Linked DNA regions of Cricetulus griseus. The protein of the gene in region 2 interacts with the protein of the main gene of each other region in a pairwise test. Links are inferred from orthologs where the notes say so. Each region holds a gene or a part of one and is shown on either strand. Other genes may lie near its edges. The genes, in order: Cinp, Fbf1, Tubgcp4 and Accs.

Evidence for each region.
Region 1: the proteins of Fbf1 (region 2) and Cinp interact in binary tests that used the Homo sapiens proteins (3 or more experiments, as listed by UniProt). The two-hybrid records come from large-scale screens. The link is inferred for Cricetulus griseus from reciprocal best matches to the Homo sapiens genes FBF1 and CINP.
Region 3: the proteins of Fbf1 (region 2) and Tubgcp4 interact in a two-hybrid assay, tested with the Homo sapiens proteins (2 studies listed by BioGRID and IntAct). The two-hybrid records come from large-scale screens. The link is inferred for Cricetulus griseus from reciprocal best matches to the Homo sapiens genes FBF1 and TUBGCP4.
Region 4: the proteins of Fbf1 (region 2) and Accs interact in a two-hybrid assay, tested with the Homo sapiens proteins (2 studies listed by BioGRID and IntAct). The two-hybrid records come from large-scale screens. The link is inferred for Cricetulus griseus from reciprocal best matches to the Homo sapiens genes FBF1 and ACCS.

The regions. Positions count from the first base shown.
Region 1 is NC_048598.1:183,142,087-183,145,647, forward strand, and holds part of Cinp (cyclin-dependent kinase 2-interacting protein), read left to right. Parts: intron 1-1,038; coding exon 1,039-1,168; intron 1,169-3,410; coding exon 3,411-3,540; intron 3,541-3,561. UniProt on the Homo sapiens protein: Component of the DNA replication complex, which interacts with two kinases, CDK2 and CDC7, thereby providing a functional and physical link between CDK2 and CDC7 during firing of the origins of replication.
Region 2 is NC_048600.1:128,748,526-128,752,831, reverse strand, and holds the start of Fbf1 (fas-binding factor 1), read left to right. Parts: upstream 1-1,489; 5' UTR 1,490-1,735; coding exon 1,736-2,035; intron 2,036-2,578; exon of another isoform or gene 2,579-2,665; coding exon of another isoform or gene 2,666-2,764; intron 2,765-3,885; exon of another isoform or gene 3,886-3,965; coding exon of another isoform or gene 3,966-3,968; intron 3,969-4,306. UniProt on the Homo sapiens protein: Keratin-binding protein required for epithelial cell polarization. Involved in apical junction complex (AJC) assembly via its interaction with PARD3. Required for ciliogenesis.
Region 3 is NC_048599.1:57,258,880-57,262,932, forward strand, and holds the start of Tubgcp4 (gamma-tubulin complex component 4), read right to left. Parts: upstream 2,861-4,053; 5' UTR 2,724-2,860; coding exon 2,646-2,723; intron 1-2,645. UniProt on the Homo sapiens protein: Component of the gamma-tubulin ring complex (gTuRC) which mediates microtubule nucleation.
Region 4 is NC_048599.1:82,875,660-82,879,663, forward strand, and holds the start of Accs (1-aminocyclopropane-1-carboxylate synthase-like protein 1), read left to right. Parts: upstream 1-1,204; coding exon 1,205-1,495; intron 1,496-3,725; coding exon 3,726-3,785; intron 3,786-4,004. UniProt on the Homo sapiens protein: Does not catalyze the synthesis of 1-aminocyclopropane-1-carboxylate but is capable of catalyzing the deamination of L-vinylglycine.

The DNA.
Region 1 (3,561 bases), on a different chromosome or scaffold from region 2:
AGGTCCCAGTGATTAGAAAGCATGTCTTCAAAAATGTCGATGGTGGCCAGGCATGGTGGCTCATGCCTTTCATCCTAGCACTTGGGAGGCAGAAGCAGGCGGCTCTCTCTATGAGTTTGTTTGCTGGGAATTGAACTCAGGTCCTCTGGAAGAACAGTCAGTGCTTTTAACCGCTGAGCCATCTCTCCTGCCCTCTCTATGAGTTTGAAGTCAGCCTGCTCTATAGAGTGAGTTCCAGCACAGATAGGGTTGTTACACAGAGAAACCCTGTCTCAAAACAAAGAAACAAACAAGGTGGATGACTCCTTAGGAACACCAGAGGCTAACACCTGGTTTCGTATGCACCGTGGCAAGGTAGCATACATCACAGTGGATGCTCATGGCCAGGACCAGAAAGAAGATACTGGGATCCCAAAATCCTATGAAGGGTATGCCCTCACACAGATAGAAGCCTCCCTTAATGGTTGCACCTCCAACTAACAGCACCAGAGACTGAAAAACCAAGCCTTCAGTGTCCACAACGTATGGATCGCAGACTTCAGTTTAAGAACCATTCGCCAACCCTTGACTCCTTCAGGAAACTACCCGCATCTTATGCATCTTTGTGCAAGCAGCATTAAGCCCTACACCAAGGATGCCTCGTGGCTAGACCTGCCTTCCCCCAGTACCGAGTTGAGTGGCCAGGGCTGGGGTCTAGCTTAGCAGTAGAGCATTTGCAGCACACTGGAGGCCCTCAGTTCTGTCCCAACCAATGGATGTGCCCGCGGTGTGTGTGAATAAGCATCTACTATAATGACATTTGCAATATGCATGTCAAATGTCTACCGTGATTATGTGGGTGGTGGCTTTTATAGGATTCATTATAACAGAATGAGGTAAAGGGATCCCCACGCCTTTTTGTTTTGTTTTCTTTTTTTGAGGCAGGGGCTCATTGACTAGCCAGGCTGACTGTGAACTCCTCCTCTTCAAGCCCTGTCAACAAGCATGAGGTGAGTTTAAAGTGTGTCATTTGCACCCATTGTTTTCTGCTTTGTCCAGGAGTAAAGAGAAGGTTGAATTAGAGAGCAGCAGCCCCGCTTCCAGTGAGAAGGAAGAAAAGACGAGTCAGGACTACAGTGAGGAGCTTGAAGCACTGTGTGAGCAGCTGCAGGCCACCTTGGATGGCTTGGTAAGACCTAACTAACAGTGCCGGTCATCTACATCACTGTCACTCAAACCCAGTGGCACCATTTGGGGTTTGCTTGACAATGGGGGCATTCAAAACTGCCAAAGACCCTTTCTCTCCTTAGCCTTTTTCCACCTACCTAACAAATCCTGATGCTCCTAAGATGCTGTCTGGTACATTGTCCTGGGCAGTTTCAACCACCTCAAGGGCCCATCAAGTAAATATTTAGGCTTTGAGGGCCAGACCATCTGTGTCATAGTGACTTTTCCATACTGCCACACAACACCAGACATACCATTCTTCAGGTTGTGATCCAAATTAACTGTATTTCTTGTTCAGATTGTTTGCACTCTGACATTGGGAGTTCTGCCTAAAGTACTCTTCATAGTAATGTTCTGCTTTGGGAATTTTTGACATTTCTTTACTGACTAGCATTGAAAGCTGTTCTGGGCTGGCTTTGCACATTTCCTGCCTCTGTCCCAGAGTCAGCCTTTTTTTCCCCAAGGGGCCCAGGAAAGTCCTGTTAGAAACCTGTTAGCTCTGAGGCTACAGAGAGGTTTCAAGTGTTGAGAGTACTTGCTGCTCACAACTGTCTCTAACTCCAGCTCCAGGGAATCCAGTACCCAGTTGTGGCCTCCATAGGCACCTGCCCACACAAATGATGAAATAAATCTTACTAGAGAAAGAAAGCTGTGTGTGCTAGCCATTGGTTAGAAGCTCTCTGCTCTGGTGACCCTGAACCTTTTGGTTTTCCGAGACAGGGTTTCTCTGTGTAGCTCTGGCTGTCCTGGCACTCGCTCTGTAGACCAGGCTGCCTTAAACTCACAGAGATCGCCTGCCTCCCAAGTGCTGGGATTAAAGGCTGGCGCCATCACCTGTTTGCTTGAATCTGTCTTAAAACTGTTTTAGAAATGTATTCTCATTCAGTGTTCAAACCCAGAAATTGGGTTTGGAGGTGAATGTTGCTTTTCATGTTTCCCCAGCCATTACAGAGGTTTGGCTTTACATGTCTCTTCCTGGGGGGGGGGGGGCAATGCAGCCTTTCCCCTAAGCTGTGGTCTATGTTACTGTGGGGAGACACTACAGATGCTGGTGGGTGAGTATAGGCTGTGCTTACATTGTCAGCTCAACAAAGCACAGACAGATGTGACTTTGTCTCTGTTGGTGGCCGACTGCAGGTATGACAGGCTAGGGCCTCCAGATTTTCCTCCTTGAATCCTTCTAAGCTTTTCTAGAATTAGGAGGGGTCGGGAAGGTGCCAGGGTGTGCAGACTTTTGTTCACAGCCATGGGTTCAGAAAGCACAGACCCTGTCCTGGCCCTGCTTCCCCACCTCAACCTTGAGAACCTTCCCATCAGCAATTGGAAATGATGGCGGTTAAGCCAAATGAAATATTGAACCTAAAATTATTTGAGAAGGAAGCGAGACCTTTTAAGATTAACAGTTGCTAAATTTAGTGTGTGCCACTTAAACCAGGGATGGATAGTTAGGAGGACCAAGTACAAGGACTTACGGTTTTGATACTGTATATTTCTTTTATCCCACCCCCCCCCAAGACACACCATAGTTAACTATACTCAGGAGTTAGACATTTTTAATAAACCTTTGCTACCTAAATCTACCACCCCAGTTAATTCTGTTTATCGTAATGGTCACTCATAACTAAGCAGGTGCTTCACTGCTGGTCATCCTTTGTCACCGTGTAGGCGGTGCTGGTGTTTGCTCCTGGGAGCTGATAGAGGACACCATTGCAGAGGGAGGGAGATCTGTGGGTTTCGAGTTCTCATTGTGCTCTTCTGTGTGGACAGGAGGCCCACAGAGGCTGCAGTGAACTCTAAGGCAGTCCATAAAAGACCGTCAGAAAGAAAGACATTCACTGAGTGCCTTTCTGCCTGTCTCACTCGGAACAGTGGCCCACTCTAGGATTCCTCCAGGTCTTTGGAGCTAAAACACTAGTGCTGCTTAGAAATCCTACTGAGATGGGACTCGGCAAGCTTTCTTCTCTCTGAGGCTTTGAAAATCCAGAGCTTAGTGCCAAAGTAATGCAAAGAAATGAAACCACAGCAACCACATGCCCCCCTACACACACATAGAAATCTGCTGTCTGGAGGTGATGGGGCGAGTTACTGGAATTTTAACCCCACCAGGACTATATATCGTAGTATTCAAATCTTTCATAGTTATTATATCTGAAATTAGAAATTCTAAGCAGTATTCTCATATTCCAAATTAATACCTTTTTCAGACTAAAATACAAATGAAAATGGAAAAGCTGTCTTCAACCACCAAAGGAATTTGTGAACTAGAAAATTATCATTACAGGGAAGAAAGTAACCGGCCCCTTCTGTTCCACACATGGCCCACGGCTTTCTTTTGTAAGTAGCTCTTCTAGAGGT
Region 2 (4,306 bases):
ATTTTCAGTTGCTATGGGTTTATCTAAATGACTTGTAATCTTTAGTTCCTGACAATAGCCTTCAGCACGTGTTACTACCTAGCCCTGTAGAAACGGGACAGGAGGTTGTTGTCCAGGACCACAGCTAGCAAATTATGGCTGGACACCAATGACCTGCCAACGCTTTAATAAAATCTTACGTCTAAATGTGTAATGGGGTGGGTGTGGTGGCCCAGGCCTTTAATCATGCCTCTTGAATGGCAGACACATGGGGATCTCTGTGAATTCAGGGCCAGCCTGGTTTATATAGTTCCAGAACAGACAGAGCTACATAGTGAGACCCTGTTTAGGGAAAAGGGGTCAGCCAAAGAAACACACCTTGAGCAGTGGCCAAGAAACACATTTGGCCCTGAAACCAGAACCAAAGAAATGCACCCTGGCCCTGAAACCAGTGCCAAAGAAACACACTTTGTCTCTGGAATCAGAGCCAGTGAAAGAAATACATCCTGGCCCTAAAATTAGAGCCAAAAGGCTAAAAAGGACCAGTGAAAGAAACAGACTTTGGCCCTGAAACCAGAGCCAAATCGGACCCTGAACCTGTGCAGAAAACCAACCAACCCCTGGGCAGAAGATCTAGCCAATCTGAGCTCAGGGATTGAAATCTGACCAATCCCCACCCTGGAAAAACTCCACCCTTAAGAAACCCCATATAAACCCTGTGCCTGCCGACTTGTTACACTCAGGAGGACCGAGCCTAACTGTAACAACTTCTCTGGGGAAGCCCTCCTCTTCCCTCCCCTGCCAGAGCAGAGCTGTAAAACTGGGGAAGCCTTTCCCCGGAGCAGGGCTGCAAGCTGCTACGCTGACCTGTGGTATTCCTTGGCTCCCGAGTGCCAGGATACCTTTCCATCCGAGCTGTGGCTCTCGACTGCCAGAATCCCTGTGCATCCCTTCCGAGCCGCTGTACACTATCTCTTTAAAAAGCTGTAATAAGTACAGCCAAGAAAATGCGTTAAGTGTAGTTCTGAGATACTATTATGTAGCTGGCTGCAAATTTCTGCCACAGCCGGTTTTGACCTAGGAAATGCAGTTTTGGATCAGTCTGGGCTTTACAGATGCTGGGATTCCGGGCGTGGCGCGTCCACTGTGTGCCTCTGTTGATGGTTTTGGGTTTTCTGATAGCGCAGCTTTGACCTCTTCATTGACCACGAAGGTTACAGTCACCACTCAGTCCTCAGAGCTCGAGGAACCAGCTTGCACACGCTCCGAGGATGCTTTCCCTGCCCCTCACTAGAGTGGCATTGAAACAGCTCCTAGCAACGGACTTCCAGCCGGGAGAAGCGCCCCGCCGCGGGGCACGCTGGGAAATGTAGTTCTTCCCGGCACCTCCTGGGGTTCGGCCCGCAAGGGAGCGGGCCGCGGACTACAGTACCTAGAATGCTTCACTTCGCCTTCTAGTTGAGGCCGGAGGCGGCGAGGTGGGAATGTCGCCGGCGCCCAGGTGGTAGGCCTGGCGGAAACGGGCGGACTGAGTGGAATCGGAATCCGGGTCTCCGGTTGGGTTGGGTTCCCGTGGCCGTGTTTGTGAAAGGACGGCTCGAAACAGGGCCCTCGGGGGCTGGGAGGAGCACGGGATGGGCGCGCGGGGGATGGAACCTTGAGGGGCTCCGTGCCCGGCCTGGCGCCACACTCCCGGAAGCGCTGCGGCTGAGGGGCGGGCTCGCGAGGTTTAAAATGGCTCGGAGGAGCTGGGTGAATGGGTGTGAAGACTCGACGTTCTTCTCGCACCCGTGGGCCCTCACAAGCCGCTCCTAGAAAACGCCGCACCCCCCGGGAAGCCGCCACGGGATGCTTAGGAGATCCGGAGGATCCTTGGCGTGACACAAGCCAAAGGCCTTTGGACTTGCAGGTCGCTGCAGTTGCCATTGCGCGGGAGAAACACAAGCACCCCCCCTGCGTCCTCAACCCCAGAAACACTGTGCACTGTGGTAAGAGGCTAGATACACCGGGAAGACAGATGAGGGCCGCGGCCGCCTTTCTTCCTAGGCATGCGAAGGTGGGTTCGGGGAGTGGGAGAGGCAGTGCTAGAAAGATCTGTTCCCAGGGCGAGCTGCCCGCCGTCTGTGAAAGGAGAATCCAGGGCTCACTCTCACACTTACAATGCTGGATGCTGCCTACAGATTCTCGGCAGAGATTCTTGGTAAAACGGGCCGGGATGTGGTTGCCCCTCCCACATGGTTCTTTGCCATTTCAGCATCCTCTCCCAGAGTAAAGGATGGGGACCGCTTTTTCCAAGTACTCTCTAAGCCAAGAAAAGCCCAATAAGTGAATTGGGAATTCCCATTATCTCGCTTTCTTCATATATTCTCTTTTTCTCATAGTCTCCTTCTCTTTTTCATGTAATCTCTGTGCCTCTCCCCACCCCCCCACAATCTGTTTCTTGAGGCAGGCGCTCACCCTAGCCTTAAAAAAAAATCACAATATAGTCAAAACTGGCCCCTAATTCATAGCAATCCTGCTTCGCCCCCCCCCCTCCGTGCTGGGATTACAAGTATGAACCACTATGCCTACTTAACTTTTTCTTCTTTTTTATGTGTAGGGGTGTTTGCATGTAAGAGTGCCACATGCATGAAATACTCTGGGAGGCCAGAAGAGGGCATCAGACCCATTTGTCCCTCCTGTGCCCATGGGAGTTACACAGGTTGTGAGCCACCATGTAGGTACTGAGAACCCAACCTGGCTCCTGAGGAAGAGCAACAAGTGCCCCAAATGGCCAAGGCTTCAGGTCCCTAGCTTTTTCTTTCTTGACGAAGGCCTTGTTAAATAGCTCTTTCTGTTGCAGCCCTCCAAGTTCTGGAATTGAAGCTAAGCTCTGAAATTCTTTTTTATTATTATTATTTTTTAGTTGCACTTATTTATTTGGGGGTGGGACACACATGTGCATGGAGGTAAAGGAAACCCTGCAGAAGTCAGTTTTCTCCCTCCGTCTCGTGTGTTCTGAGGTCCCACTCATGTAGTCAGGCATGTTGGCAAACACACCTTCATTCACCGAGCAGCTTCCAGTTCACAAGTTCTGAACTTACAGAAATGGGTGTGAGCCTATTCCTGGCTCTGCTGGAACTTGCTCTGTAGACCATGCTGGTCTTGAATTCACAGGAGATCCTCTTGCCTCTTCCAAGAGTGCTGGGATTAAAGGTGTGAACCACCACCACATGACTAGGTTTTGACCTCCTAAGGTGAGAGGATTCTTAACACGCTTGGAGTCAAGCACTGTTAACTGCTGTATTTTATTTATTTATTGTTTCAGGTTTTTTGTTTTGTGTTTTTTTGGTAAGATTTATTTATTATGTATAGTGTTCTGTCTGCATTATCCCTGCAGGCCAGGAGAGGGCACCAGATCTCATTGTGAGCCACCGTGTGGTTGCTTGGAACTGAATTCAGGTCCTCTGGAAGAGCAGCCACTGCTCATAACCACCGAGCCTTCTCTCAAGTCCTTGTTTTGGGTTTTTTGTTTGTTTGTTTTTTTGAGACTTACTTAGCCCAGGCTGGCCTTAAATTTGTTATGTAGCTGAGGATGACTTTGAGCTCCTGATTTTTCTACCTCCCTTTCCCAAATTATGATATTTCAGGATGAGGTCACCATGTTGAGCTAAACTACATATTTTTAAAAATTTACTTAAATTAAAAAAGATTTTTAATTTTTAACTATATGAACTCGTATGTAAGTGTATATGGGTACAGGTGTCCATGAAGGCCAGAGGCTTGGAACCCCCTGGAGCTGGAGTTACAGGAGGTTGTGAGCTACCCACAGGTGCTGAGAACTCAACTCAGGTCCTCTGCAAGAACAGGTTGTGCTCTTTGCTTCTGAGCCATCTCTTAAGCAGCTACTTTAATTTTCTCTACTAGGGAGGATGAACTTGTTCAGCGAGAGTGCACATGACTGAACAGTGCTGTGAAGGAGATACAGAAAGCCCCCAAAGCCCAAGATGGTAGGCAGATTGCATCAGTGTAAGATGTGTGGAAATATCAGCAACCCCCAGCCCATCCCTGCACCCTGAACATTTGACTGCATAGAGTATTCTAGAAGTTTTGTGGCAAGGACCAGGAGATAGTCTCTATGGCAGAGTAGCATAAGAAAAAAACAAAACAAACAAACAAACGTAAGCATGGAGCTGGACCTTTTATCCTGGCACCTGGAGGCAGAGACAGGTGGATCTCTGTGAATTTCAGGCCAGCCTGTTTAATATAGCAAACTCCAGGCCAGTCAGGACTGCACAGAGAGAGACCCTTCCTAGCACCTCCCCCCAAAAAATTAAACAGTGAACAA
Region 3 (4,053 bases), on a different chromosome or scaffold from region 2:
TTATATCTAGCTCCATGCAGGCATATATTCAATGTAACAGTTAAATGACTCTCATAAACTTTGAGTAGTCACGATGGTTCTTTTTAATCAAATGTGAAAATACTGTTCTATGGAAAGCATATAGTATTTGCTGTTTTTGTCTTTTTCCACAAATAGATGAACATCTACTATGGGGCAGACACCGCTAAGTGCTCTGGGTAAATGGAAATCTCTACAGAAGAAGCAGTGTAGACAGGTGACAGCAATAACAAGTGATGAACTAATTCTTCAAAGTCTGAGAAAGGAAACAAATAGCAGTTATAAAGAAGAAAGGCACAAGAGAAGAATACTGAAAGGGTGACCACAAAACTCTTCCGAGGCCTTAGGAATGAAAGGATGAAAATGTCTGCTTCAAACCTTTATAACAAAGTCAAGAGAAGATGAAATATTTGTGGCTCTTGCTGCAGCCTTCCCAGCCGTCTCTGCCATGCCCTGGGTATCATTTGCTTTTATTTCAAATGTCAGTCAAGCACCCACAAATGCTGTGCATTTTCCCCCCTCCATGATTGGCAGTGTGTCAGTCTTCAAAGACATACACACAAAAATTGTAAAAGCACACACTTCTAAATCCCAAATTCACACCCATAAGGGATAACAGAAATCTGTTCAATTTGTTTTATGGATGAAGAAAGGACCTTTCTGATCCTCCAAGGCCTATACTGACAGTGCTCCTATGAACAGACACCACACTGTGATCAGATCTTAATTCCTAGGACTGCCACAAGTCTGCACAAAGTTCTCCAAGCTTCAGTTTTATGCACTCATAAGCTGGGACGAGCAATACTGAAGTTACTAGGTGTAAGGATTCAGGCATTATGCTGGCCTGACCCTGTCACCTGGCAGAATGCACTCGGGCAGTACTCTGGTCAGCCCAGGGTTCCATAAGTACTAGTCTGATTGCAGGTGCAAAGCACCCCCTTAAAAGTCAGACTCCTGCCCACTTAAGCTCTCTTTGCCCCCTCCCCCCTTTCTCTTTCTGCTCTTTTCCAGCTCTCTTCCCACTCTCTCTTCCTACTGTTCCTCTGGGCAGACAGGAATTTTCCTGCCTCCCATTTCTCTTCTATCCTCTCTCTGTCTCTGTGTCTTTTTACCTCTTTTCTCTTTCCTTCCTTCTCCCTTCCCTTTCTAATAAAACCTCTCACTTAAGTTCTCTGTCTGCCTGGCTTGTTTGTCCCTCCGCCTCCGTCACCCTCGCCTGCCATGGAACCCGCCATGGTCCCCCACGAAAGGACCCCTCAGGCTTTATCATAACAGTAGGTAACTGAGAGCACCAGGCATCATTACTGGAAGCTGAATACGCTAACAGTTCTGACAGTGGAATAAGACAGACCTGTGTTCAGTTCTAAGCTATACAAACCAGGAGGTGGTGGCTAACACCTTTAATCCCAAAGTTTGGGAGGCAGAGGCTGGTGGATTTCTGTGAGTTCGAGGCCAGCCTAGTCTACACAGCAAGTTCCAAGACAAGCTCCAAAGCTACAGAGGAACCCTGTCTCGAAAAAAACACAAAAAAAGTAAGCTATACTAATGAATAGTTAAGTGACGCTGGGAGTTAACTTTCTGAACTAGATTGCTGTGAGGATTCGATGACATATAATGAACACTGCACTACAGTCACACTATCCTGGTCCTAGTTAGGTTTCTGTTGCTGTGACAAAAGAGCAAAGTGTTTATTTCAGTTTACAGTTCTTCATGAAGGCCGAATCCCCAATCCTCATGCCTAATTATTCAACAGTCTGATTAGAAAATGGTATTCTGATTTCCTTAGATTGGCACGATTAACGCTGTTTTACTGTTTTATCAAACGCATAAAGTAGCCACAGTTACATACAGTTCCGGGGGGAAGGCCATTCTCCTGTCATAGAAGAGAAACAGTGGAGGAAAGCTGTTTACTAGCTCGCTCCACCTGACAGGCAGAGCCGGCTTTCTTATACATATGGAGACCACCTGCTGAGGGACTCGGCCTGCACTGGGCCCTTCCACAGCAGTCGCGAATTAAGAACTTGCAGTACAGGCTTGCCCACAGCCAATATGACGGGCATTTTCTCAGCTAAGTTTCCCTCTTCTCAGGAAACTCTAGCTTCTGTCAAGTTAGAAATGGAGGGAAGGATGGAGAGAAGAACGAACTAATCAACACATTCCTCTCATACTTTTCTGATTACAGAAAAAGCTCTTTCAAGTTCTTAACCTGGTACAGAAATTTCCGAGGAAAGGAGGGAAACGCCAAATTCATTTTTTTTATCTAACACAATTTACTGAGTGTTTATAGTGTTTTGAGCTCTGTGTACATATTTCCACAAGTCAGTTTGAAAATAATGCAAGCGTGAATACACAGGGGTACCCTACTCCCTTTTTAAATAATAAACTATCATCTAATTCCAGATACACATTTAGGGATTCACAGTTTAACAGTAACTTTATATGCAGTAAAAAGAAGTACAGTTCTACCCACTCTCAGTGGCTCCCTAGCCCGGGTCCCCCCTCAAAGCCGGAGCTATGTCGGGTTGCCCTCGGCTTCTCACGGCTCGCGGGCTCAGTCATTCGGCGTCCCCCCCGCGTCCCGCCCCTCCGCTGCGCTGCAGCGTCCCAGCCTCAGACCCGCTCCGTACCTGCAGGCCACTCCGCTTGTTCCAAGTGAAAATGGATCCTGGGTACCCACTCAGAGCCAAGAGCAATTCGTGAATCATTTCTGGGGCGGCCTCGGAGCTCCCAGACCTACCGCCTTCTCTTTGAGCGCCTCTGCGGGCGTCCACTCACACCCAAACGAGTCGCTCGCCCAGAAACCCCGCAGACCAGCGCGCGCGGGGCCGTCACGGCGCCGCGCGCCGCGTCCCGGAAGTGCGCGCGGCTCAGAGGCGCCCACCCGCTCGCTCCCGCCGCGGAGCGCAGAGGAGGCGCCAGAGGTGCCATCGCGCATGCGTCTCGGGTGCCCGGAGTGGCCCGCTCGGACTTCCGGCTCCAGAGCCGGACTGGGGCTCCTGCTGGGCAAGACTGGTCTTAGCCGGGCCGGAATGGCTGAGGCCGGCCCGGGGACAGGGATAAGAGTGACTTGACAGGCAGGTGGAGACGCGGCCACCGGTGGGCCGGAGGGAGTCCTCAGGACGCCTTGGCAGAGTGTGTGGCGTTTTGACCGACTGCACGACGTCTCCCAGAGTGACCCGGCCGGAGGGGACAAAGAGGCCGGAACTTGGCAGGCGCCGCTGTGGAGCAGCGCTCGGAGCCCATTTTGAGCTCGCAGCACTGGCCAGCACTGGCTTCGGTCTCGGGAGACCCACTACTTGCCTCCTCTCAGGCTCCCTCGCTTCACCAACTCCTGTGACTCTTCCCCAAGCCCAGTTGAGTTTAGAAGCCCAAGTCAGCTTCCCCGGTGCGTGAATTTCCCATCTGTGTCTCCCGAACTCTTGCTGAGTTCTTACTTTGTCTGGGAGGGGTAAACAGGAGACCCAACATTCAGCACTTGACTTGGGTTCTGCCTGGAAAATCTTACTTTGGCGTTCAAGGGGGCGGGGCTGACAGCAGGGGCTCTGGGGAAGATTAGCGGCCACCCGCTAGTCAGGCTTTTGTGGTCTTCAGCCAAATGTTGACTTACCTTTAGAGTCCATCAGATGTCCCATGCGGTTCGAATTCACTCTACAACTTTGATCTGGGGCGCTAAATGCGATCAGATTTATTTAGGTGAGGTGAGCGTGAAGCAGATGGGATTTTCTATTACCTGCGACTTCTGGGAATGCTCCAGTCACCACCCAGAAATGGAGCTTTTTGAAAGGTCATTTTCTCCTTGCTCATTGATTTGCTGTCCTGAAGCGGCACTACCTCAGAAGACCACTTGGAGCATATGGGAAGTCAAGCCGCCTCTGGCAAGACTTTTAAACATGTGAAGATATTTCCATTTCTCTTTAGGAAGAAACTCCTTTTTACAGAGAGACTCATCTGCAGATGTTTCTGTAAGGACATGGGGAGATAGCGAACTAAGTCTGGAACCCAGACACTAAAAGGAGAGACTGCTTTTAGCTGTGA
Region 4 (4,004 bases), on a different chromosome or scaffold from region 2:
CTCTGACCTGGGCTGTCGTGTTGAGGAGGCCCCCTAGATTTACAAAGCAAATTTGAACTGCGGGCCGGGCCGTCGTGCCCCCTCTCCCCCCGCGCGCCAGTCTACCATCAGCCGTCCTTTCTACCAAGTAAGACTTGTACCTTAAGCCAGGGAAGTCAGAGAGCGTTTGTGATAGAGTGACTCATATTTCAGACATTTGGCCACCAGCCAGGATTTGGTATGAGTGCTTTATCACCTTCGGATCCTCACTGTTGCCTTTGAGGTGGGTTTTGGTTCCATCAGAGCACAAGTGAGGCACGAATGAGGGCTGCTTAGGAAGCTCTTATGTTGTTGGCAGCTAGGAGACCCTTGCCTCCTTTGTGAGTGGAGTTGGGAGTGCATTTGTGACTCCTACTATCCCCTCCCACTAGTTCCCATCTCCATCAGCTCCAGATCACCTGTTACACAAGAGCACCACAGCAATGATCTGCTTGGGGAAAAGCCTGGTGTTTTGAAATTGAGGTGAGCAAGGGTGGGGGAGAGATCATTGAGTGACCCCCCGAAGCTGCAGAATGAAAGCCAGATGTAGAAATGGAGCAAGCTAAAGCTACAGTAGATTGAAGTTATTTAAATGTAGCATGCAGAGTGTGGTACCCATAGATCCTCAGTAGATTTGTTTGTTGAAGTGTTTCACTCAATAGGGACAAAGGGGATGAACACACAAACTTGCAAAAAGAGGGAGATATCTGTGTGGTAGTCCCAGCTACTCAGGAGGGATACCTTGAGCCCAAGAGTTCAATGCAACTTCAGGGGACAGAGGAGGAGGGGACACTTGCCCTGTTTGTAAAGTGTCCAGTCATTAAAATGTAGTCATAAAGACTACATTTTATCCCCAGAACCCACATAAAAATAGTCAGTTGTGCATCCTCATAATTCCAGAGCTGGGGAGGTGGAGACAGGCAGGTTTCTGGGCCTTACTGGCTACCCAGTCTAACCCAATCTGCAAACACCAGAGTTTAGGGAGAGACCCTGTCTCAAAAAATATGGTGGATAGTTCCTAGAACAACACCAAAGGTTGTTCTTGGGCCTACACATAGACAGACAGACAGACAGACAGACAGACAGACAGACAGACACACACACACACACACACACACACACACACACACACACACACACAAGAGCAGAAGCCCTTCAGCGGGCCTGTGCATTTGTGTTTTGGCAGATGTTCCCTCTTCCTCAGAGGGAATCCACAGCACCGACTGCACCTTCAGGCTCAACCTCTTCTCGGGACATGGACAGTGGCTATGGTGATGATCTGCAAGGAGAATGCCTCAGAAAGCCAGACTGGAAGCAGTCCAAACTCTATGGAGTGGGTGACCCCATGGCCATGTTCTCCTCTGATAGCTCCTGCCTGTCCTCTAGAGGAAGAGTCATCAAATGGTTCTGGGACTCAGCTGAGGAGGGCTACAGAACCTACCACATGGATGAGTTTGATGAGGACAAGAACCCCAGTGTGAGTGAAGACCCCTCCCCACTGGGACCCAAGAGCAAACTAACTGCAGAGCAGCCAGCACCCAGCTTGCTCTTGTCAGGTTGGAGTTATGAACCTTTGGCTCCAAGAGGGCTGGTAATGTCTGCTCTGTAGGTTGTTCATTTCTGAGATGGGCTGGTAATGTCTTCTGTGTAGACAGATCATCTCTGAGATGGGCTTTTATGTCTTCTCTGTAGACAGGTCATCTCTGAGATGGGCTGGTAATGTCTGCTCTGTAGAAATGAGACGAGAAGTGTGAAATTAGTGTTTGTCATATAGGAAACTTGATAAATACAGCTGCTGTTATTATTCATATCATCTGCCACAATAACCATAATCTATTACACATAATAATTTAGCAAAGAACTACACAATAACACTTATTAATAGTTTTGATCTGCTGAGCATCCACCAGGTATCAGCGACTGTTCTAGAGGTACTGGTGTCATACTTTAAATCTTGCCCTATGTATTTATATTTTAGTTGAGATGGACAGGTCAAAAATACATATAACATTTACTGTTAGGCACTGCAGAGAAAATGAAGATAGGGTGAGGTGGACAGAGGATGATGGTCTGCTAGGAAATGTTGCTGTTTGATATAGGATGTCATAGAATGCTATTTTAATCAGGAGACACTAGAACAGAGGCTTGAAAAAAAAAAGTGAGAGGGATTGTGTTAATTACCCATTGCTGTAACAAATCACCCCAAATCTCAGCAGTTTACCTAGCAAATATTTCCCGGTTGCTGGAGCTCAGGACTCCTGGTGGGTGTCTTCAGACCAGGGCTTTCTGTCACAGTACCCTGAAGCTGGTACTGTGATCTCATCTGAAAGCTTGCGGGGTGATGGGACTTGGACAGGTGAGAGGCTCCATCTCCTGGTGGGCACCTGTTCCTCTCCACATGGACTTTTTCCCAGAACTGCCTCAGATATGGCAGCTGCCTCCCTCTAGAGCAGATGACTCCAGGAAGAATGAGAGATCATGAGAACCTAATATGGAAGCCACACACTTTTATGACCCAACCTTAGAAGTGACATCCCATCAGTTTTGCATGTTCTTTTTATCAGGAGCAGTTGGCAGATTCAGTCTCTACCCAGGGTGCCATGGTAGAGGCTACCAGGAGCCATGCAGCTCAGAGGATAGCTGGTACAAAGGCTCCAGGCTGCAACTATGCTGGATCAGATCAAGGGTCAGCAAAGGAACCAGTGGGCTGTGGTAAAGCCAGACTGGTGGGTGATGGGGTCAGAAAGGCTATGGGTATTGTAGGGCCTCATGGGACATGGTGACAGTTCTTTCTGTAGACAGGGGTGGGTAGGAAGTGTTCAGGAGAGGAGCAGTGTGCATGAAGCAATTTCAGTTTTTTTTTTTAAAGACATCTTGGACTTCCATATGAAGACCCAATGACAGGTGAGGGAGTGGACAAGAGAGGAGATGGGAGCTATGGCAGTGATCTGGTCAGGAGCTATGGTGACTTACACTAGGGTCTCAGCAGTGGGGCATGATAAGTGGCTGGCTGAATGGGTTGGCTGTGTCTGGAGGAAACAGAACATTGCCTTTTATTTGTCTTACTCTCCGCTCATTCAAGTTTAGTTGTTTTGTCTTTCCTGCTTCCTTCACTCCCCACATAAGGTAGGGCTCAGGAGTTGTGTCTCCTATTAGGATTAACACCTTATGGGGTGGCAATTGGACATTGTGTCCTGTTAGCTGGGCCTCCTAGGGAATAATTTACACTGACAAGGGGGGTGTCCACTGACCACCCCACCCTTGTATTTGGTCCTAGCAGAGTATAATTTATAGTATGCAGGTTTTTTTTTTCATTCTATAAATGTTTCTGGAGAGACACAGTGGTGTCTGGGGCATGAATTTGCCTTCAGGGATCTAGCTATCATCAGAGAGAGCTCTACCCTGATCCTTGTGCCATGGAGCAGAAATTGAGTGGTTTTCTAAGGGCAGGGGAGTGGTGGAAAGAGACGAGTGGGACTCCAAGACTCAAAGAGTCCTTCCCAGTGGGGCTTGGGGGAAGGTTTCTTGCTGGAGGTGGTATTTAGACAGTGTTGGAAATGGCAGATGGGATTTTGGAGCCCAATGAGAAAAGACAAAGAGGGTGGTGGGAGGGTAGACTGGTGCCCACTTTGTTGTCTGTGGGTTCCCCAGGCTGTTTGTTGGCATTCCTTTGTCATGTTCACCCTGCCTCTACACTTTGTCTTCAGGGCATCATTAACTTGGGCACCAGTGAGAACAAACTCTGCTTTGACCTTCTGTCTAGGCGGGTGAGTAGTGGGACTGCAATCACCAGGGGCTTCTTGAATCCTTTGCCACAGTAGCTTGCAGCATGCCTCAGGAGCCCTGATGTAAGAGCTGGGAGACATGGATTCCAGGTCTGCCTTGGGAACAACTCTGCTTCCCCTCCCCTCCCCTTTCTCTCCCTATTCCCTTTCTCTCCCCTCTCCTTTCTCTCCCCTTCCCTTTCTCTCCCTATTCCCTTTCTC